Linked DNA regions of Pelodiscus sinensis. The protein of the gene in region 3 interacts with the protein of the main gene of each other region in a pairwise test. Links are inferred from orthologs where the notes say so. Each region holds a gene or a part of one and is shown on either strand. Other genes may lie near its edges.

Region 1 (7,339 bases), on a different chromosome or scaffold from region 3:
ACAGATCTGCCCTTACCTGTGGGCTTCTTACCCACCAACAAACAGTTCCAACTGCCTCCTGGTCCTGGAACACCCCTTCCCCCACCCCCTCCATAAAGTCCAGTTCTCAGCTGCATCTGAATGGCATTAACTGGGCAGGGCTTCTGGGGCTGATCTGACCATGGAGACAAAGTGCCCCCTCCAGCCATAGCAAGTTCTCCCCAAAACACACACTGAGGCAGGGGTGTTACAAGGAAGCTTGCCAGGCCACTACTCTGTGATGGCTACCACCAAACTGCCCCAATTCAAATTGGGCATTGAATTTACCCAAAAGGAGTGGAATGGGGGAGGGTTCAAGTGCCACAGCTGAGGTGCTGATCTCCCAGCACAGGTGCCCCAGCTCTGCCACCATAAGCAGCAGCACCTGAGTCAGCAGAGAAAACCAGGAGCCACGCCCCCTACCAAATGTGGCCTAAAGGCAAGGGCTGTAAACAAGTGCCAGTCACACAAGCTGTAATCAGAGACTAGTGCCCTCATCCCTTCAATGGGCAGCCTCCCTGCTCTGACCAGCCTCTAACCTCTCTCAGCACCCTCGTGCTATGTATATACCCCATTATTCATCCCACTCTATGTACCCCCCTTTTCTCCCACTCCATGTGCTACCTGGCCTCTCCATGTTGTATATACACCCAAATATTCTCCTCCATGTGCACACCCTCTTGATCCTGTCATTCTGTGCACCCCTGACGTTCTCTATCCTGTATACACACATATCCCTTGCCCCTTTCTCCCTGCCCACTGTGCAACCCTCACCATCACATATGCCCCTGCCCTGACTCTGACATGTGCATGTCACTCCAGTTCTCTTTTCCCACAGCAGCACACACACACATATACAAACCCTGGGGAATGCTCCCACATTGTCATGTTGGGGCTTGAATCCTCAGGAAGCCAAGGGCGTGGGAGAGACAGGGAGGGAAATAGCAGGCGCCAAGATGCTGCTCCAGAGCCACAAATGGATCCTGAATGCTTCTTGCCCAATGTTGCCAGCCAGTCAGGGTGGCGCCAGGAATGGGAGAAGAATTCACCACCCCAGGGAAGGTTTAGGCCCTAGCACAGCTCAGCCATCTTGGGAGAAGAATTACACAAAATGGCTTCCAGCAGCCATCTTTGTGTTTCCACTGACCTGCCAACAGCCATTGCATCTTGTCATGCAGCCATCTTTGTGCCTCCCCTATTCATGACCATTCTCCTCCTTGGCAGCCATCATTGTGCCAATCTTTCTTGGAAGTCATCTCTCTGTGTTATTACCCTGACAACCATCACCCCTTCTCTGGCAGTCATCTTTGTTTTGGAACTTAGTACTGCCCCCTAGCTCCATGGACCTGTGACGACTGGGAAAGGGGCACCCCCACTTCCATGCCAGCAGTTGCACTGTAGGGCAGCATCAAGATTGGGTATCATTTCCTAAGGGCCCAGGCCTGGGAACCACTGGCAGAGCTGGGGGGCCCCTTCCCTGTGGGTCTGTGTTGAGGCAGAAGAAGCAGGCTCCATGGAAGCCCCAGCTCTGCTGACCTCAGCCCTTAAAGGAGCTGCCCTGCTTAGAGGAAGTGAAGGGGATACACCTCACCTCCCCCTACTGCATTTCCTCAGTAGGGTTGCCAGATGGTTTCAACAAAAATACCGGACACACTTGACATTACATCACAATCTACATTACATCTTATTTAGAAGATACTGGACATTGATATTTTCTCATTTATATTTTCTCAATTTATTTCCCAAACAGAAAGCTCAAATACTGGACTGTTCTGTTCAACACTGGACACCAGGCAACCCTATTCCTCAGGGAGTCTGGGCCAGTGAGCCAGGGCTGCAGAATACCTCACACTCCCTTTGGGTATGTCTACACTACCCCCCTAGTTTGAACTAGGGGGGATAATGCAGTCATACGGAGTTGCAAATGAAGCCCGGGATTTGAATTTCCCGGGCTTCATTTGCATAAAGCCGGCCGGTGCCATTTTTAAATGCTGGCTAGGTCGGACCCCGTGGCACGGACTAGCTAGTTTGGATTAGGCTCGTGGAACGAGGTATACAGCTAGTTCGGATTAGGAAGCCTAATCCGAACTAGCTAGTCCGTGCCGCGTGTAACCGCGCGGCACGGGGTCCGACCTAGCCGGCATTTAAAAATGGCGCCGGCCGGCTTTATGCAAATGAAGACCGGGAAATTCAAATCCCGGGCTTCATTTGCAACTCCGTATGACTGCATTACCCCCCCCTAGTTCGAACTAGGGGGGTAGTGTAGACATACCCTTTATTCCCAGCACTTCAGCTTCCGCTGCCTAATCTAGAATACCCCAGTGTCCATTGATTTCCAGTGCCCCTGTACATCCATTCCCAGTAACCCCTATTGCCCATCCCAGCTGCCAGTGACCTTCCCTATTCCATTCCCAGTATCCTCACATCACCCAGCCTCTGCTGTTCCAGCTCTTGCTGATAGCACCCCATCAGTCCCCCCAGCCTCTAGTGTTTGGCCCCCATTACTACTACTCCAGTCCCCAGGGCCCTTATTACTCCTTAGTGCCCCCATCTCTCCCTTGTGGTGCCCCATCAATCCCCAGCCTTCCCTTCACCAGCCTACAGTGTCCTCCACTGATTCTCTCTCCACCTAAGATCTATTGCCCCTCCTCCAATCCTGTTTATCCCACAGACACATTTGCTCCTGGCAGAACCCCTCCCCCCTGCAGTTGTTGTTATTGCAACAGGAGCTGTCAGGGGTTATTAATAAGGCCAGTCCCAGCCCAGAGCCCCTGCCAAGCCAGTTCAAGGGGAGGGGAGGGACTCAGCCGCTTGTTGTTGTAGCATGTTTTGCAGTTAACAGTGTCCTTTCTGTGCCCTGCTGGAGAAACACAGACAGAATTCCCTAGACTCAATCTGCTCAGACTTTTTCTCCCAAAGATTCCTCCACCTCACCCCCACCCCCAATCCAACCTAACCTATCCCCACCAATTTCCACTTGTCCAACCTAAGCCTCAGCCAAGTCAGAACCCCACTTAGAGCTACAATAACTGAGCCTGAGATCTCCAGCTCCCTCTCCAGCCCTAGTTCCCTCCACCAGCCTTAAGCAATGTCCCCTTCCTCTGGCCTATGTCGATTCACGCTCCACACAGAGTTTGCATCCCCAATCAGGAGCCCCACACTCAGGTTTACATGATCCATAAAGTGCAGGAAAGAGGAGTGAATTTAAAGGAGGCCATACCCTGATCCCCACCATCTCTCCCCTTCAAAGTCTGCAGCTGGACACCGAGAGATGGGACCTTACAGGAACCTCCTGTCCTGGGAAGAGACAGGAAATTCTGGGAATCAGAGGAAACAGTGTGAAGCAAAAAGGAATTCTTGCTCCCCCTCTGCCTGGCTGGGCTCCCAGGCAGAGATGTAAACAAGACTATAATTATAGGGATCATGGCTGAGAATGAGCTATCCAGGACTCTGGCTGTTCCTACAGGGGATTAGTGACTCAGTGCTGTCCCTAGTACCTCAGGTGATCAAAGGGTAAAGTGCTGCAGAAAGCAGTATGGGAAGATCAGAAGGGGGAATTCTCCTTCACTGCAGGCTCCCAGTGCCCCAGAGTGGACTAAGGGCATTGTGCTCCTGGCAGGCACCATCTTTAAGTTCTGCAGTAAAATCCAGGGGTTTGTCTCTAATGTTATTATTTATTTGCATTATAATAGCACCAAATTTGGTGCCTCATTGTGCCAGGTGCTGCATGGATCCCAAACAAGATTGGGATCCCATCACTCTGGGAGTTGCACAGTGACAGTCCTTGCACTGAAGAGGTCACAGTAAAACTATAGAAAAAAATGAGGGAAACTAAGGCACAAAATGGGATGGGGGGAGGCAGAAGAGATTTTCAGTTGCAGAGTCAGGAATAGAACCTAGATGTCCTGAGTCTCAGTACAGTACAGTACCCCACCTTCTGGACCACATGTGACCCTAGAGATTGCCTTCTCCCTTCTCCTTCATCCCTTCCCCATGGCAGATACGCGCCAATATGTTGGATGGGCCATGGCATTGTTCTGAATGATTGTGTGTTCCTCATGCCTTTTATGAGCTGCACAATGTCCCTGAGACTAATGTTGCCCCTCCCAAGCTTTCCCCTTCTTGGGGATCTAACAGCACAGTCTCTCCCCTCATGGGCTGCTGGCCAGGATCAGAGCCATGGTCTGTCCTTCATCCACAGTTACTATGGTGACCATATAGTGGGGGTGAGGCCAGGCTCTGGAACCCTCCCAACCATGGCCATGTTCTGGAACATGGCCAATCACCACAGTAACAGCTGGGGGGGGGGAATTCAGGTAGGCACCATGTTGGGGGCCCACCGCCACTCTATGTTCACCAATGCTTGCATCAGCCCCTCCCTGGATCCCAAAGCCCGGGCGCCTGGCACCCTCTACCAAAAGAAGGGCAGGGTGCACCTGTTAGGACTGCTTTCAGGCTCCCTTCCCCAAGAGGTAACTCCTGGTACTCCCTGCCCCCTTTGTGTACTGGCATCCCACAGTCCTTGGGGGCCCAACATCTGTTTTCGACCACCCAAACTCTACCTTCCTCTCCCTGCTGTGAAGGACTCCCACAACGGGCAAACACCCAGGGAAAAATTTGGGGCTGCAGTTTGTTTTTGTAGGGTCTCCTTACCTGGCACGTGTCTTTCTTTCTCACTGTCCTGTGTGGATGTTTGTAGAGTGACACTGCTGGCTAAGTAGAGAGAGCAAGGGAGTGGAGTTAGGATGCACTACTTCCAGCTTTAGGAGGGAGTGTGGTGACTAGTGGACTAGGTAGTTTTGAGCCAGGACCTACTGAGGGAAAGGCTTCCTGTCCCAGTCTCTGTTGCCTGAGCCAGCCAGTCCCCTAGAAGAAAAGCCAGGTCCTTCTTGCCTCTGCTCTGCGGTTTCAGGAGGAGGTTTTCAATAATGGTGATGGAATCGTGGTCTTGATGAGGAAAGGGAGGAGAAAGGGGTCACCCAGAGGTCCCCCCTCAGGGAGAAGAGGCAGCCGGGTCCCATGCTGCAAGATGCAGGAGTCCTGTGTGAGTGACACCTGTGATGGGGACCAGGACTCGGCCCAATCTGCAGGAAGGTAAGTAGGATGGATGGGATCCTTATGGCCATTGGGCCAAACTTATGCTTGCTGCTGCTGCATAGAGATTTTATTAGTAGTGTCCACATGTGCCGACTGAGATCAGCACCCCTTTACGGCATGTGCTGCACAGATCCCAAGACCAGGGCCACAATTGTGCTGTGCACTACATAGACCCTGACCAAGATTGGGGCCCCCATTCTGCTGGGTGCTGCCCAGGCTCGTCAACCCAGATCAGGGGTCCTCATTGTCCCAGATGGTGCACAGATCCAGACCAAGATTGGGACTCCACTGTACTGGGCACTGGACCGACACGCAGTGAGAGACAGTCTCTACCCCAAAGGGCTTGCCTTGTAAAGAGACAAAGGGAGAAGAGTGGGTTCTACTGGGCTAGAGCCATGAGGAGGGGGGCAGCTAGGAGTCTGTTGCTGGCTCAATGTGAGATGTGGTCATGTCTATGGTATGCCCTGTAGATGAACCCATTGGCTTAGTCTAGGGTAGCTGGATAGGAGTAGCGATGCTGGGCTCATTAGCTGGGGGATACCAGGCTAGGTGGCTCCATTGCTCTGATCTGAAACTCATCATCTCCTTTTCTCCCTACCACCAGGCAGAGAGACATTCCTAAGGACCCATTTCCCTCCAAGTCAGCTCCTGCCTGCACCCTTGATCGCCCACCCCATTGCTCCCGCCCCTCCTTCCCCTTCCAGTGGATGTGGGAGGAATTCTCACTCAACGGCCGTGCCCTGCTCCCAGCCCCTTCCCTGGACCAGATGAAGAAGGGGGAGCCCCGCAGAGCTCCCAACAACTCTCCCCGTGAAAGTGTCCACCCCAAGAAGATGGGTTTGCATAGACGTGCAGACCAATGGGCTGGCAGCTCACAGGGGCACAGCAGCACTGAGGGGGGCAGGGTTAAGCGAGTACCCCACCCCACCTCCAGCAGCCTCTCCCCACTGTATTGGAAGATGGAGGCCCGGAGTGAGGCCCGCAAACGCCAGCTCCGGGAGGAGAGGAGGCACTGGCTCCAGCTGGCTCAGCAGTTGCTGAGTCTGGAGGAGGCTGTGTCTTCCCCGGCCTGGGAGACGTCCACCTCTGCCCAGCAGCTCCGGGCCAGGCTAAGAGCTGAGGCTCTGTGCCTGGCCACAGAGCCACAGGACCCAAGCCCCAGGGGGCACAGAAGGAAGGGCAAAGGGCTGGCCCCCAAAGACAAGATCCGGTACCAACCCATCATTAACCGGACCATCCCTGACTTTGAGACACTCCACAAGAGGTTCCAGGAGCAGCTGGAGAAGAGGAAAGTGAGAGGTGAGCCAAGGAGATGGATGCAGTTGCTTTTGGGGGCTGTTTAAACGGAACCTCATGCCCGGCACTGAGATGGAGCTGCCTCTGATGTGGGACTGCTTATACAAAAATCCCTGGAGTAGGAGGCACAAGGGCTGATTATTCAGAGACTCTTCCCCTGGCAATTAAGATGCAACTGTTTCTGGCGTGGGAAGTGCAGCTGATGGGAAGGTTCAGGAACCCTCCATTAATACTTTCTGTGTTTTCCTCCACCAGCCAAGATGACCATCTACAAACCCTTCCATCTCCACATGGCCAGCAGCTCTCAGCACCAACCTGGGGACCAGCTCAGAGACTGGGAGCAGCACCAGCTCTGGAGCTTCCACTGCAGGTCCCAGTCCTGCTCAGAGTTCGACCCCTTCCTCTCAGTGCCACCCACCAGAGCCTCTGACAAACGGCAGGAGGCCACCAGGTATGGACAATGACCTTCAGTTCATTCACACCCCAGTTGTTCCAGCCCTGGCTTCCCTCAGCTCTGCTGCGGCCCCTCTGCCATCCCCTCCCCAGCGCTGCTGGTCCCCCATAATCCTGACCTACAGCTAGGGTGGCTACTCATGCATTCCAGAAATACCAAACATTCCAGTGCTACTGGGAATGGCAGGAGCCCACATCTGCCAGTGCCGCACAAGGGGCGCTATTTTGAAGAGCACACAGCCCACCTCTGCCAGCATCATCTGACACATGTGGCGTGCATGCCAGGTCACACCAGAGGGGGCAGAGAGGCACTCTTCATTATGGCATCTCTCATCTGATACTGGACAAAGCCACATTGTTTTTCTCAGTACTGGATAGAAAGGCAGGATAGTCTGGCTAAAAGCAGATAACTGACATGCCAAGCTAGAGGCCCCTGCTATCCCAGGCCTGGGTTTCAGCACACACTGCCCTCCAG
Region 2 (7,745 bases), on a different chromosome or scaffold from region 3:
GGGACAGAGCAGCTGGAGTGCTGCTGGGTTGGTCTCGCAGTGCCAAGGGTTGGTGCTACCAGACTAATCCAGCAGTGCCCTAGCTGCTCTGTCCTAGGTGTACCCAAGTCAGCCGCTGCTGAAACTGATCAGGGGCTGATTCCAGGAAGCCTGGGGCACAGCAACTCTGCCTCAGGCTTCCCGGAGTCAGCCACTGGTCAGTTTCAGCAGCGGCAGAATCACGACACCTGGGGCAGAGCAGCTGGGGGGCTGCCGGGTTGGTCTCGCCGTGCCAAGGATCGGCACTACCGGACCAACCCGGCAGCACTCCAGCTGCTCTGCTGCAGGTGTCCCGATTCAGCCGCTGCTGAAACTGACCAGCAGCAGCTGAATCAGGGACGCCTGGGACAGAGCCGGACTATCGTAAGGGGGGGGCTATGAGGGGCCTGGGGTGGCATCCCCCCACCCCAGACTCCTCATAGCCCCCCCCTTACGATAGTCCGGCAAATCTGATAATCCGGCACCTCCTGGGTCCTAAAGGTGCCATATTATCAGAAGTTTACTGTAGTAAGAGCCCCTGGGGTCTTACATTTAAAATGTAGAGGCACAGCAACCATGCCAGCTGGGACTACTTGGTCCCAGCTTGTGTGGAATCTAGTAGCTCCTGCCCACAACTAGTCCTGGCTGCTTTGAACAGAGGCTGCTCCAACAGACAGGGGCCCCCATATTCCTCCCCCCCCCCCCGCTGCCTCTGATTGGGGGGGGGGGGGGAGAGAAGATGTGAGAACACCCCGGAGACACTGTTGGGAGGATTCAACTTTTAAGTTGGTTCCCCCTAGCACTGGCTTGTATTCCGGGGGGGGGGGGAGGGGGGCGCACCGCAGGGAGCACCGGGCAAGTGGGGGGCTCAAGCAGTTCCCACTCACCCCATGATCCCACTGTGGCACTTCAGCCTTTGAAATGTAGCAAGAGCCCAACAGTGTTGAAACGCTGCAGTGGAAATAGCAGCCATGAGCGGGGACTGCTTAAATCCCACTAGCACTGTTTCCCCCGCTGTGCCTCTGCTTCCCCTGCCCCCCAGAGACAGCGCTAGGGGCAACTGGATTTTAAGCCGGCTTCCCCCAGCACCAGCTCCTGCTCCTGCTCCACCTCTACTTGCTGCCTCTGGTGGAGGTGAGGGGGGGGAGAAGGTAGTGACTAATCGAGTCTCAGTCACTAGTGGAGAGGAATCCTGTGGCACCTTATAGACTAACTGAAGTGTTGGAGCATAAGCTTTCGTGGGCAAAGACCCACTTTGTCAGATGCAGACGAAGTGGGTCTTTGCCCACGAAAGCTTATGCTCCTACACTTCAGTTAGTCTATAAGGTGCCACAGGACTCCTCGCCGCTTTTGCAGATCAGACTAACACAGCTACTCCTCTGATACTCAGTCACTAGTGTAAAACAGAAAGCCCATATCAATACAGCAAAGGCAGTTCTCAGAGCCCTCAAACTTAGAAAGTCTCAGCACCACGCAAACAGGTGGCTCAGGCTGCTCTTTGTCCCTATCTTATATTACCTTCCTAGCAGCCCCTCTTCCATCCTTGATGCTGGGTCCTTTATTAATGTTATGCTGGTCACCCAAAGTTACTAATCACTTGAAAATCTTGACCCCAGTAAATACACTATTTAACTCAGTTTTCTGAACAGTTCTTTGGTAGAATCATCAAGCTTAACTTCACACAGTTAAAACAGTTTCAATTAGTTAGAATGCCAGAAGGATTGCAGCAGAGTGGTCACTCAAATCACTTTAAACAGGAAGCCCTGGTAAAAGGAATTCCGTTTTTGATAGAAAGCATTTCTGCTGCTGCTGCTACACTGGAAGGTACAGACACACAGAAAATCCCTCCTAGTACTCAACAGACAGTATGGGGTTAGGAGGCATGTACTGAAAAAAGGGTTCTACCCCGTCATTCACCTACTCTGTCAAGGGGTGATACCAGAAAGGAACAACACGGAAGAGTCAAAAGCTGGCAGCAATATGATACTTCATTTTTTCACATCTCAGAATTACAAGAGAAACTCAACCAAAAATAACCAGCTTAACCATAAGCTGCGTTAACATAACTTATAGGCAGCTCAGTTAAGCAGCGTTGCTATTCCATTTTGATCTGAGCAAGTGGGTCTGGCCCACGAAAGCTCATCATCTAATAAACCATCTTGTTAGTCTTTAAAGTGCTACATAGTCCTGCATTTTACTTGCTATTCCAGGGCACTCCAGGGGTTTAAGTCTGTTCCACGCCAGGCGTCCCCATTGAAGCCGGTGCCGCCTTTCAGGTGCGGGCGGCACAGACGCTCTTGGCAGTCCCCCTAGGCGCGCACAGCGGCACTTGCCTGTCCCCAGCCAGCGGCGCTGCCGCACTCGCGCCCCGGGGCAGCGAAGCTCGGGGCGGGGGAAGGGGCCGGGCGGGGGAGCGAGCGGACGCACCTTGACGAGCGGCGCGGCGGGCCGGGCGAGGGCGGTGCTGAAGAAGCGCAGCTGGAGGAGGGCGAGACGGAAAACTCGAGTTAGGCGACTCCGGAGGGAAAGGCCCGAGGCCCGGCGCGTGCGACCCCGGGTTCCCGCCCGCGCTTGGGCCACGCGCCACCCCCCGGGGCCGCCTGGCGAGCCCGAGCGAACCCGCCTCCCCCACGTCCCGCCGAAGCCAGGAGCCCGAGCCTGGCTCGCGGGTGGGGGGGCGACAACGGCCGCCGAGGAACCGTTGGACTGGGGGGGGGGGGGGGGCAGGCCCTGTTCCTCCCCGCGAGCCCGGATGCGGGGGCGGCGCTGCCGGTCACCTTCCCCGGGAGCCCCGCGGCCGCCGCCATCGTCTCCTGCTACTGTAGGTCAAAGCGGGGCCCTGGCTCGGTAGCGGCCAGGACGCATGCGCACACTCCGCTGCGGGGCACGCTGGGAGAGCGAGTCTTGCAGCCCCGCTCACTCCTGGGAATTGTAGTTCATCAGCGGGCGGCGCGGAGAACGTGACGTGAGCCGCCAGGCGGAAAGAGCCCACGCTGCGGGGCTATGAGCCGGGTACGGAAGCCCCGAGACGTCCCCACACTACCTACGTCAGGCGTAGAAAGAATGTGGTGCCGTTTGGGTTCGACTGAGCATGCGCGGTAACAATCCCAAAACCGCTGCTCTTGCCCCGCCCTTACTTAGGGTCGGGTTCTGCCGCCTGCGCTGTACAGCAGAGGGCGGGGCGGGGCGGAGGAGCGAAGTGGTGGGAGGGGGAGGAGTTACGCCCGGGGCAGGCGCTACGGGGCGGGGCGCAGGGCCCCGCTGGCTAACCATTGGCCCTGCTGTGCCCATGCGCGTCAGTTCTGCAGGGAGGCAAATCGCTGCCCCGCTGCCGCCCCTGCTAACAATCGCTTGGCTGCGCAGCGGGGCGCCTTTGCCTCGCGCTGCCTGCCACCCGCGCCGCGTGCTGCTCTCAGCGCGGCCACCCGGCTTCTGCTGCCTCCGCGCCGCTCCTTGCGCTGCACCCCTTCCCCAGCGCCCCCGCCTCTTCCAGCCCCTGCCCCGCCCCTGCAAGCTGCAGAACAGCTGGCGGCCGGATCAGAAACTGCTACCGGTAGCACAGACTTACAAGAGAGCAGCTCTCTGCAAAGCACCCGCAGCTACTCGTAAGCGCCAGTTCTTCTTTTCCCCCTTGGATCCTCCAGGTGCAACTGCAGAGTGGATGCCTATGTGCATAGTAAATATTCATTGAAAGTACTTACAAGTAAATAGTTGCTAGTGGCTTTAGCAATGACAGCCGTGTTTCTAGAATAGCTTTACTATATATTTTATTGTGATTTTTATTTTGGAATTTTTGCTTTTCACTTCTTGTTTTGATAGCACAAGTTTATTCGGATGGATCATTGTAGCTGCCAGTCGGATAGATTGCCTAGCCTGGTGTCAAAACTTTGTTTTCATTTGATCCATTAAAGAGAATTGCCTTTTGCAACTGCTATTTTGCCTCACTCCAGCCCTCAATGCTTTTTTGCATCTCATTTCTTGTGTGTAAAACTTCATTCTCAAATAGTCAGTAAGGGACAGTATACTATCATATTAAATCATTCTCAAAGGCAAAAACCTATTTTAATTTTTGCTGAACAAAAGGTTGACTTTATCTGGTTAAACTAATTCTCCTAGCCCAATATCTTGTCTTCCAATGTGCTTCCAAAGAAGGACTACAATAGGCAGTCAAGTGATTCAACCCCTCTCATCCACTTTCAGCATCTGTCAGTCAAAGGTTTAGGGGCACCTAGAGAGGAATTGCATCCCTGCTCATCTTGGCTAATAGCCACTAATGGACCTATCCTGAGGAACTTATCTAATTATTTTTGAACCCAGTTATAGTTTTGGCCTTCACAACATAAGCACAGAGCTACAACCTTGACATAGCTTGACAACCACAAGAATTACAAAATCATGAGATATATACCTTCATGTAATTAAATTTTTAACAAAATAAATTATATTGTGTTCTATTATGCCTCTTTGTTCCAAAACCTTTAGGGCCAGCTCCACAAAAGCAGGAACTTGAACACCTGAATGACTCTTGAAACCCATTGCATACTTTTCCTGTTGCTACTTCCAAACATTGCGTATAACAAAGGCCATATCTATGCAGCAAACTTATGTTAACAAAAGTTACATCAGCATAGAATTGCCACAATTAATATGTCACGGTGGCATGTGCCATTATTAACTTTTTGTGTCAGTGGTGAGTGTACTCACCAGAACCACTTATATTGATTCAGAACATGGAGCAGCATAGATAGCTCACTGTGCAACTTGCCACCATCCAGCACTGTATTTTTGGGAAGTTTTGGCAACCTGTACTGGGACCAAAATGGGTTGCACTGGGGTGACTAGGATCAAGAGATCAGCTTCCCATAATGCAGTGTTCACCATGCCCTAATTTCATACATTGTCCATATGTAACATTATACATCATTTTTGCACCATTTTCCCTAAATTCCACAAACCTGCATGGCCGTCCTCACTGTCTGTCACCTCTGGTAGAAGCATAGAACCTGCATAACTCTGCACTATTGGCATGAGCATTGCAAGCTGTGTAATCCTGCAGTATTTACTGAGTCTGGAGAATAGACATTGAGGGAGATGATTCCATGCAGGAGAGATTGCTGTGGGACATAGCAACGATCAATTCACACTTGGTGGTGGCATTCACAGAGCAGCTGCAGATGGTGGAGTAATGGTTCTGGGCCTGAGAAACAAATTCCAGCTGGTGAGATTGGGTTGTAATACAGGTTTGGGATGATCAGCAGTGTCTGCAGAACCTTTGAATGCGCAAGGCTACATTCCTGAACTTGCCAAAATGACAGCTGCACTGATAAGGAAGAAGTGAATATAGATTGCACTCTGGAAACTTGCAACACTAGGTTACTATGGTCAGTTAGAAGTTTCTCAACTAAAAACAAGGTAGAATGGATTTTTTTTGTTATAAATAGTTAATACTAATAGTTGTGTGAGAAAAGGGGGCTGGCTCTCCTACTGGTTTCCTGTCTTTCTGCCTCTGCACCCTGCCTGAGAGCACCATCTGCTGGCCACCGCCTGCCTGCAATCATCTGCCAGCTACAAACAGGAGGCCTCTGCTGCACATTGACCAGCAGGGGGAGCAGAAACACAGGATAATTGCCCCCCTCCCGCTTTTTTTAAAGTCAGGACACCAGCAAAACAGCTTAAATAAGGTACTGTCCTGTTAAAAACGGGACAAATGGTCACCAAATCTTCCCCTAAGAGCTGGAGGGAAATGCTTTCTGTTTCCATGTGGAGCAGGGCCATGTGGCACCTGAGGCAGGGAGCTCAAATGATGCCCCCATGCCCCCTCGCTTGGGCCAAAACTTTGAAAGGTCTCAGTTGTGCCTTCTTCCTGTTCTATTCCTCTCATGGGACTGCTCTGCTACCTACATATGCACCAGCAGCAGACACAATTTTCTATCCTAGTGGTGCCCCCTATCCTCCAGTCTGGCACCTGAGGTGTCTGCTTCAGTTCGCCTCATGGTAAGGCCAGCCCTGATGTGGAGCAAGGGCGAGTAGGGAGCCTGCCTTAGCCCCAGGCTCTCTCTGCGTTGCCAGTTGAACTTTTAACCTCCTGTTTGGCAGTGCCAGCCAGAGCTGCCAGTCTCTTTTTGACTGGGTTTTGTAGTTGAAAACCAGATGCCTGCTAACCAATTTTTTTTGGAAATTCATATTTTTGTGCTGTTATATTTCATGTCTTGAGCTATTAAGACTTTAATTGGCTAAAATCTTAAAGGTGATCTAACTTTATGCACATAGCACAAATTTACATCCATCACTCTTATGATTGGCCTTGGAATGCTGCATTTTTGAGTTTGGCTTACCCTGCTTGTGTCTGCAATTTACACATCATACTTACAAAATAAAGTCTTATTATATGGCTAGATACTACATGTTTGCTATTTTGTAAATGTTAACTGTGTGAAATGTTTTCTTCTGTGAACAATACTCGGGGAAATCTTTTCAGGTGAAAATTGCAGAGGTTTTGACGTATAAGAGAAGTAACACATCTTAAAGGAACAATTAAAATGGGTAGGTTTAACTTATGTCTATTTTCTGCCAACTTTTCTTTAAAAGGCAAGCAATATTTTTTTCATATAATAAAGAAACAGAATACAATGGAATTTTCAGCATATAGGTGACGATCCTGATCCCTGCCTTCCCAACGCTGGGATTATTTGAAGTGTTAACCTTACTTTCAATGGGGCTATGATTAGGATCACTGTCTTTCTTCAAACTTCTTAGAAAATCTCGTTAGCTACATATGGAAGCAATGTAACAAATGTATTTGTCAGTTACATGGAAATGAACATAAATTATAAATATTAACAAAAAAATCCTTTAACTTTGTATTTCTTAAGTATGTTATCCAGTGTAACCACAAACGGTAACAACCCATATACGTTCACTGAGTAATGAGTTCTAGTATTAAATAAATTTCAACATGTAATTTTAACCACATAGTGAAATTCCTTTATATTCAAGCCTTGATAATCCATACTATATCCAGATATCTCTTATATTATATGTCTTTGAAAATATCTGATTTTTTTAAAGTGCAAAGCTTAATCTCTGATTAGCAGAGGAGACATTCTGCCATTCTGCAGAAGGAATAAAGGTTGCAGTTGTACACACCATGAAACAACCCTTATGACTTCTTGAACAGTATCATGATAGTCTACAGAGCAGACATCAAAGAGTAGTTAACATGAGAATTCTGCTGATCTCACACTATTATTGGCCAGGGATGATAAAAGACATCACAAATTGGGTATGTAAATTAGGGAAGCAAAATCCTCAAATATTAAACTTAAATGTAAATACAAATTTGAAACTTAAAGTGCTAAGTATAATGTCTTTGCATTCAGTGTAAAGATTTAACTGGGTTCTCTTGCAATATTTTAATATCTGAATGTTAATGTCCTCATATTATTCTGTCCTAACTAGGTTGAGCAATATCTGCTTTGCCACAAAGGGGTCAAATCTGGATACCATCTTGAAAAGCATAAAAATGAATTTTGCATTCTATCTATATATCTGAAATTTTTTTTTTTACATCCTTTCTGTTGTCAATGCCTTAGGAATGTTCTTAGTGCAGACTGCATATAAATGACATATAGTCTTATTCACTTCCTTAAAAAGCAGTAATAAATCTCTGAGTCAGTTGTTTATCATAATCCATCTTTATTGCTACACAATGAGGCCTTGAATTTGTA
Region 3 (7,495 bases):
CTCTCCTCCATGTCGGTCTTCTCTCCTGAGCCTCTGGTCGCTCTCTCTCTCTCTCTCTCCCCCCCCCCTACTGCCTTCCCCCTCTCTCTGTCAGCTCTCCTCCGCCTCCTGCTTCACTCTGTGTCTCTCTCTTTCACTTCTCCTCCCCTTCCTGCCTCTCGGGGGATCGCGGAGCCCAAATGGCCATTTGGGCTCCGTACTCCCCATGCTGCATGGGAGGGGCGCGGATCCCAAATGGTCGGTTGTGCCGCTTGCTCCCACACAATGGCCCGGCTGAGCAGCGCAGAAGTCAGCCGAGCGCCATGGCGGGAGGCGAAGGGGGGCAGGGTGGTGAAGTTCACGGCTAGGGGGCAGGGCTTGGAGCCGCTGTCATGCCACACGTCACCACCCTGCCCCCCCTTCGCCTCCCACCATGGCACTCGGGTGACTTCTGCTCTGCTCAGCCAGGCCGCCACGGGGGAGCAAGCGGCGCAAGCAGCTGTTTGGGCCCCGCACTCCCCATGCAGCATGGGCCGCTCAGAGGGAACAGCCAGTATTTCAGTAACAGTGCCGCCCAGAGGGAACAGCCAGCATTTCAGGCAACAGCGCCCCCCCAGAGGGAACACCCAGCATTTTGCGTTACAGACTCACAGACAATGGGCTACTATATATATGATTATACTGTAAATCTTTTCTAGTCTATTAAATTCAATCTTAACAGTTAAATAAATATCATATAATTGAGTAAATTAAAGAAACTGCAGTTAGTTCAATGATTTTCTAACTTTTGTCTGCAAACCCCTAGAGGGCTGCAGACTATGTCTAAGATTTCCAAATGGTTCTGTGCTTCCATTTGACATTTTTAGGGGTCTGCATCTGAAAAAGTGTTGAAAACAAGTGGCTTAGGTAATATCTAATGTGTGTCTACATGCATGTAAATGGTGCATGCATGTATTATGTATTCATGTCAAGAAAATAATATGCACATCTATAGATCTTATCAGAAATGACCATTAAATTTCAGATTGCAGACATTTCCAGACCAGTTTATACTGAATTGAATGTTCTGGCATTGTTCCTTTTTACCTTACTTCATCTTCATAGAGAGTAATCTCTTCACGGGATGCCATAGTAACCAATACGGCCTTAAATCCAATTAGCAGCAAGGAAAGAGAAAAGCAGAATAGCAGCAAAGAAAATGTCGAGTACTGCAGTTCCTCTTAATTAAGAAGTAATCCTTTTTCCAATTTAATATCCATTTTCCTCATTCTTTACATTTAACACACAGGGATATTTTCACAAGAACTTCCACTAACCCTAACATAAAAAATGTAATATATTTCTACACTTGATACAACACAGGCAAATATAAATCAGTACCTGAGCTGAATATTTCACTTAATTTATATTTGCAATTTATCCACAAAGGTTAAGGGGACATAATGGAAGACCTTTTGATTAACTTCAGGTCAAAAGGCTAAGATCCTCTGAAAGAGATTCACTCCAGATCAAAGTTTTGTGTGTCAAGCATTTTTCCCTTTGAGATATGTCAGTTGAGTATGTAATCGTAGTGAAAATTCACAGGACAGCTATACCAAAAAACAGAATGTACATAAAAACGATACACAAAATGCAGGGAACTTGTAGAGAATGTAGTCTCAAAGAAAAACAGGAAAAGAGCTTAACACAAGAGGAACCTGGGAGGATATGAGGCTTAATGTGAAAGATACTTCAAGTTCTTCATTCTCGTGATTATTCCAGAACAAGATATTGAACAAGTACTATGGACTCCAGAACATTTATTTAAGGCTACATTGCATTTCCAACAGATGTGGTGAGTTGCCAAACAGCCACACATCAGCCCTTCACACATCCTCTATACCTGTCAAAAATGCATATGTTCTGGAACACCATAATCAGTGCTTAAGGATGTTAAGTAGTAGGTAACTGACTAATCATGTACTCGATACAATTTGTATCGAGTACACGATTAGTCAATAAGGGGCACAGTTGCAACTGCAGTTTTAAATATCGTAGGAGCCAGGCATGCAGGCAGCCCAGCTCCTACTGTATTTAAACTGCAGAGCCGCAGATGGTGTAGGTCCCATATCCAACACAAGCTGGGACTGCTGAGTCCTGGCTCATGCCGGGTCTCGATCTTACCCTGCTACAGCTCTGCCTTTTAAATGTAGCAAGGGCCAGGCAGCTCTTACTACATTTAAAAGACAGAGCTGCAGTGGTGGACCCGACGAGAGCTGGGACTCAACAGTTCTGGCTCACACCAGGTCCCTGACTACTGCATCTCTGTCTCCCCTGCACCACGAAGACTGTGCTAGGGGGAACCAGCTTTTAAGCCGGCTTCCCCCAGCACTGCTTCCCCTCCCCTGTTTACTGACTCTATATTAGAGGCAGCAAGGGAGCGAGTAGTCAACTCGACTACCCGATAAGCCTAGGCTTATCAGGTAGTCCACTAATCAACTACTATTTTACATCCCTATCACTATTTTCCCTTCTCCAAGCTTCTGCATTGTATCAAGGCATTTCAATTAATCTATCATTTTTTCCCATTAATAGAAATGCTTGGAAAAACGATAAGGATATTTGATCACATATTAAACTATAACATACTTTTGAAATTTAGTACATATTAGTCCGCAATACTCCTAGAATGTTGTCACTTATTTATCTATTTTGTTGAATTTTGTTTTTCTATCCTATTTCCATTGTGTCAATGTTTTATATACGTTCTGTTAGTTTTTTTAACCTAGTCTTTAATGTAAAATATAAACATAAGTTAAAAAGACCACTCAGTATGTCCCTGCTGCTGCCCCTCCTCTATGCCATCTTTAGAAGTCCAGAAAACTTGTAGCAATGGAGTCAGATTCACACTGATGTTATTTCTTTTATATTCTTGGTTTAGGGAGAGAAACCACATTGCTACCAAGCTTATTACAACATGGGATGCTGATTTTAATGACAGTGCAACTGAAATATGTGATGAAGCAGAATATTTCTGTTGGAAGGAAGGGGGCTGAAGGGAACAAAGGTCTTGCCCACATCAGCTCCTTCCGCAGTTATGGCAACTAGCCCGAGCCTCATGTTGTGGAATAGAAAGCTGCAAAGGCCACTGCCTTCCTCTCAAGAGGACCACCAGAGTCAAGCTCTATTTGGTATGTTACTAGGCTGGTTTACTGAAGACCCTCAGCACTTCTCATCAGCATGTTAGTAGTTGAACTTGACCAACTAAACTTAGGAAGTACATTTATGACAAATCACCTAAACAGCACCCTCATCTCAAAATAATCTATGAAATTTGCGCTACACAAATTGTGTATCTTATTTCAAGGTTATTTTAAAATAGTTTATTTCAAAATGTAGTCCCTTAACCCTTGTTCCACAAAGGTTACAGGGATTCTGGAATAGCGCATTCGTTATTTTGAAATAATGGGCACCTTTAAAGACATGAAATTGCTATTTTGGGATACTTCCGGTATCTCGAAAAAGCGCCACTGTCTAAACGTACCATTAGAGACTAACAAAAATACATACAGCTTCAGAGGGGTAGCCGAGTTAGTCCGAACAGGATAACCTTAAAAAACAACAGATAGTTTGGTAGCACTTTAAAGACTAACAAAAGATGGAGATGGTATCATCCAGCTCCATGTTTTGTTAGTCTTTAAAGTGCTACCAGAGTACGTGTTGTTTTTTAAGGTTATAAAAATACATACAGTATCATGAGCTTTTCTGGGCAAAACCCACTTCCTCAGATGAGATGATCTCGAGTGCCTGGGTTTTGGCCAGGAAAGCTGGTGATTCTCTGTAGATGTTGTCTAGGCTGGCGGCTCAAGACGCTGGTTTTTTAAGTTACAGACTAACAGGACTTGTTCCCGGGAGAGCGCCAGTCCCAAAGCGCGAGGGGCGGAGTTGCCCGTGTGTCCCCCACCGCCACCGGGATCTCCAGGGCGGCCAATGAACAGGGGCCACTTGAATAAAGCAAAGGGGCAGAGGGCTCCGAGGCGCTCCCCACGCGGGATTAGCCCGGCGCTCGGGGCAGTGACCGCGGAGCGGGGCGCTGCAGGCCAGGCTGGGCGGAATCGCAGGGACCGGGGGGGGGGGGGTCAGAAGCCGCCCAGGCCCCGCTGGGCTCTGGGGTGCGACGAGCCGGCAGCGCCCCCGAGGAGGAAGGGCGCCAGCCTGCCCGGGGCTTCTCGTACCTGGGCGCGTCTCGCTGCACACCGCTCCCCGCCGCCGCGCTCCCTCCGGCCCCCGCGGCCAAAATGGCGACAGGGGCAGGGAAGCGACGCGCCGCGCATCGATCAGCGCGACCGCCCGGCGCATCCACTGGCAGCGCCGCTGCCGCCGGGCCGGGCCGGGCCGCGCGCGCCCTGGGGGCGGGTGGACTCTAAGGCCGGTAACGGGCAGCGGGCCAGGCGCGAGCCAGGGCGCTGGGGGCGGTTCCCTCGTGCCGGGGCCTGGGAGGGGCAAGCTCCGCCTCCGCCGGGGCGGGGCCAATCGCCGCCAGCAGCGTCCTCTGGCTCCGCCCCTCCTCAGTTGTAACGGTCGCGGCGGAGCGTGTGGCGGCCGGAGGCTGAGCTCGGGGCCAGGTGGGGCGGGGCTGGTGGCGAGCGGGGTGGGGGCGGGCGGAGCCGTGGCCCTACCGGGACATCCCCCCTCCCCGTGCCGCGTGCGCGGGTCCCGGCCGCTCAGTGGTTCCGTCCTCGCCAGGCCCGGTGCAGCGCCGCCTGCGCTCCCCTCCCCTGAGTCTCCTCGGCTCCCTTGCGGGCGGCGGCTGGTGAGCGGGGCCAGGCCGGCTCTTGCGCTGCCCCTCCCCGAGGGCCAGTGGCAGCGCCGGCCGGCGGGGTGCCGGGCTCTGGGGGGCAGGGTCTGGAGAGCGGGTGCTCGGCGGAGACCGCAGCAGCCGCGGGGAGCGGGGCAGCATGGCCGAGGCTGGGTCGTAGGTCGGCAGGTTTTGCTGGGTGAAGGAAGAGGGGTTTTTAGCCAGTCAGTGAGTGTTAACAGCAGGGGGCTAACGCAGGCATTTAACCAGCCGCCCTTGGCCAGAATACCCCCTCATTAAATACCCATCGTCTGCCCTTGTGGCCGGCAGCCGGCCTTGCAGCTGCGCTCCAGAACAGCCCTGGTGGGGATTGCCAGGTTTTGGAGCACTCAAAATCTACTCGCCTGGGCCCCCCAGGCTCTGGTGTGCAAGGGCAGTGTGGGGAGTGTCATCTCTGGGCACAAAATACGTATGTGCACCCAGCTGACTTTTCTGTGGGTCAGCGGCTGCTCATTGACATCAGGTATGTAAGGTGGGGGAGGACTGTGCCAAAGCATCAGGCATAGCCCCGTCCACACTCCGCTGTAAGCGTTCTGGGGGCGGAGTGTTGCTTCCCCCTGCACCAGCACTCCCAGTGCTCCAGGGTTGGGGAGGCCAGGCTTGGCTGCATGGCATGCTCTCTTCCCTCCTTTGGTGTTCTGGGACTGGACAGGCTGAGCTAGACTGGGCTGTTCCGTGCAGCATGGCCTGCCTCCTCTCTCCTCCAGTGCTCGAGAGGCTGGGCTCGGCCAGGCCACGTGGCATGTTGCGCTTTCCAACAGTGCTGGGGAGGCTGCGGCGACTGCACACCTCCTCCCCTCGGTTGGAAGGGGGGAACATGCGTGTGGTGTGCCATCCTGCCTCCTAGGAGATAAGGAAAGGTTGGGGCTGGAGGGGTTCCCCATCCCTATTCTGGAGGCTGCTGCAATACATGGGTTGATCTGTATCACAATCGGCTAACTACGTTAGTGAGTGGGCCGCATGAGTGGTCCTCCTTCATCTTGGTTGCAAGATTATCATAACCAAGATGGCCTCCCAGAATAGTGTAGTTTTCCTAACCTAGTTTTGCATACCTAGCATTTGTCAGGTGTGCTGACTGAATTGTGTGGTCCGTACTCATCTCTTTTCACGTGCCCTTGCTTTATGTGAACGTCACTTTAGCAATATCAGTCGGGGGAAAAAATTAGATGGAGACCAGCAGAATCTGGCAACCTTGCACTTGGGCAGTGGTGAACAAAATGTCTTGCAAGCCACACATTGAACTTGGGATGTTAATGTATAGTTGGTTACACAGTTAACCGATAAGCCCAGGCTTATTGATTAATCATAACAACTACATGCAAATTCCCTCCCCCCTTACCGCTTCTGATATTTCAAAGGTGGAAGCCGGTGTCTATAGGAAGCCAACTTTTAAGCTGGGTCCTTGTGCTTGCCGCCTCCCACAGAGCCATTTGCCTCCCACAGAGGCAGTAGCGTGGGGGAGGTGGGAGCTGACTCCCCCCTGAGCACTGGCTTCCCCCCCGCGCTGCTGCCTATAATAGGCATCAGTGCCCGAGGGAGAGGAAGAGCAGATGGGAGCTGATACACACGGGGAGCTGGCTTTTAAGCTGAATCTCTGTGCATGCCTGCTCTACAAAAGCCCCCACCTCCCTTTGCTGCCTCCCACAGAGGCAGCAGTGAGAGGGAGAGGGGCTTCTGCATGTCCACCTCCTCTCTCCCCATGTTGTTGACTCTTTGGAAAGTGGCGGGGCAGGGCGTCACGAAATCCAGCATGTGCGAAGAGCCAGTTTAAAAGCCTGCTCCCCATGCATGTTGGCTCCTGCCTGCTATGGCCCCTTGGAGCTGGCACGTAAGGCAAGCCAGTTTTCAAGTCAGCTCGCCACTGCTTCCCACAGAGGCAGCAGCGCTGGGGGGGAAGTAAAAGGGGACCAGAGCTCAAGAGATCCAGCTTAAAAGCTGGCTCCTGACAAGCACTGGCTCCTAGGTAACCGCCTGCTCCTCTCCCCGATGCTGCTTGCTCTTTATCGGGGGCAGCTGGGAGCTGGTGCTTGCACCTGTCCCCCTGCATGTAAATGTGTAACTGCTAAAATTTTCAGGGGTTAGACATTTACACAAATGATAGTTAACATTCCTACATTGAACTCTGATGGGCCATAGGTTGCCCACCACTGGTCTGTATTGCATCTTGCACTGTAATATAATGGTACAGGTTGAACCTCCCAAATCTGGGACTCTGGTCCGGCAACATCCGTGGTCTGGCAGGGCCAGCGATGTTGCTGGACCAAACAGCCCTGGAGCAACATAGGGCTGGGGAGCCCCAGTTGGGCCAGGCTGCATTTCGGGAGCCCCTGTGCTGGCCTGGAACCCCCAGCATCAACAGGGAAAGCCAGTGGCTTAGGACCCTTAGCCCCAGCCAGGCTCCTGCCCAGGCTGGGGAAGCCCCCGTGTTAACGAGGCCACATGGCTGGGGAGTCCCGGTGTAACCCTCTACTGAAGTGGGGCTGGCAGAAGCGGGCAGCCGGAATCCCCAGCGATGGTGTGGACCTGGCTGGGGAACCCCCAGCGGCAGGAGGGCCGACGGTGGCCGGGTGGCCCTAGTTGGGAACTCTGGAGAACACCTGGCGGCAGTGGGACCAGCAGCGGCCAAGCGATCCCCGCCAAGAACCTTGGGACACCCTGGGGCAGTGGGTGGGCAACAAG

Evidence for each region.
Region 1: the proteins of CEP70 (region 3) and TSGA10IP interact in binary tests that used the Homo sapiens proteins (3 or more experiments, as listed by UniProt). The two-hybrid records come from large-scale screens. The link is inferred for Pelodiscus sinensis from reciprocal best matches to the Homo sapiens genes CEP70 and TSGA10IP.
Region 2: the proteins of CEP70 (region 3) and ATP5PO interact in binary tests that used the Homo sapiens proteins (3 or more experiments, as listed by UniProt). The two-hybrid records come from large-scale screens. The link is inferred for Pelodiscus sinensis from reciprocal best matches to the Homo sapiens genes CEP70 and ATP5PO.

The regions. Positions count from the first base shown.
Region 1 is NC_134721.1:33,087,840-33,095,178, reverse strand, and holds the start of TSGA10IP (testis-specific protein 10-interacting protein), read left to right. Parts: upstream 1-4,328; 5' UTR 4,329-4,343; coding exon 4,344-4,490; intron 4,491-4,930; coding exon 4,931-5,112; intron 5,113-5,719; coding exon 5,720-6,414; intron 6,415-6,666; coding exon 6,667-6,862; intron 6,863-7,339.
Region 2 is NC_134711.1:183,989,608-183,997,352, forward strand, and holds the start of ATP5PO (ATP synthase peripheral stalk subunit OSCP, mitochondrial), read right to left. Parts: upstream 3,012-7,745; 5' UTR 2,826-3,011; coding exon 2,796-2,825; intron 2,497-2,795; coding exon 2,446-2,496; intron 1-2,445. UniProt on the Homo sapiens protein: Subunit OSCP, of the mitochondrial membrane ATP synthase complex (F(1)F(0) ATP synthase or Complex V) that produces ATP from ADP in the presence of a proton gradient across the membrane which is generated by electron transport complexes of the respiratory chain.
Region 3 is NC_134717.1:12,118,029-12,125,523, forward strand, and holds the start of CEP70 (centrosomal protein of 70 kDa), read left to right. Parts: upstream 1-4,480; 5' UTR 4,481-4,583; intron 4,584-4,617; exon of another isoform or gene 4,618-4,771; intron 4,772-4,800; exon of another isoform or gene 4,801-5,279; intron 5,280-7,495.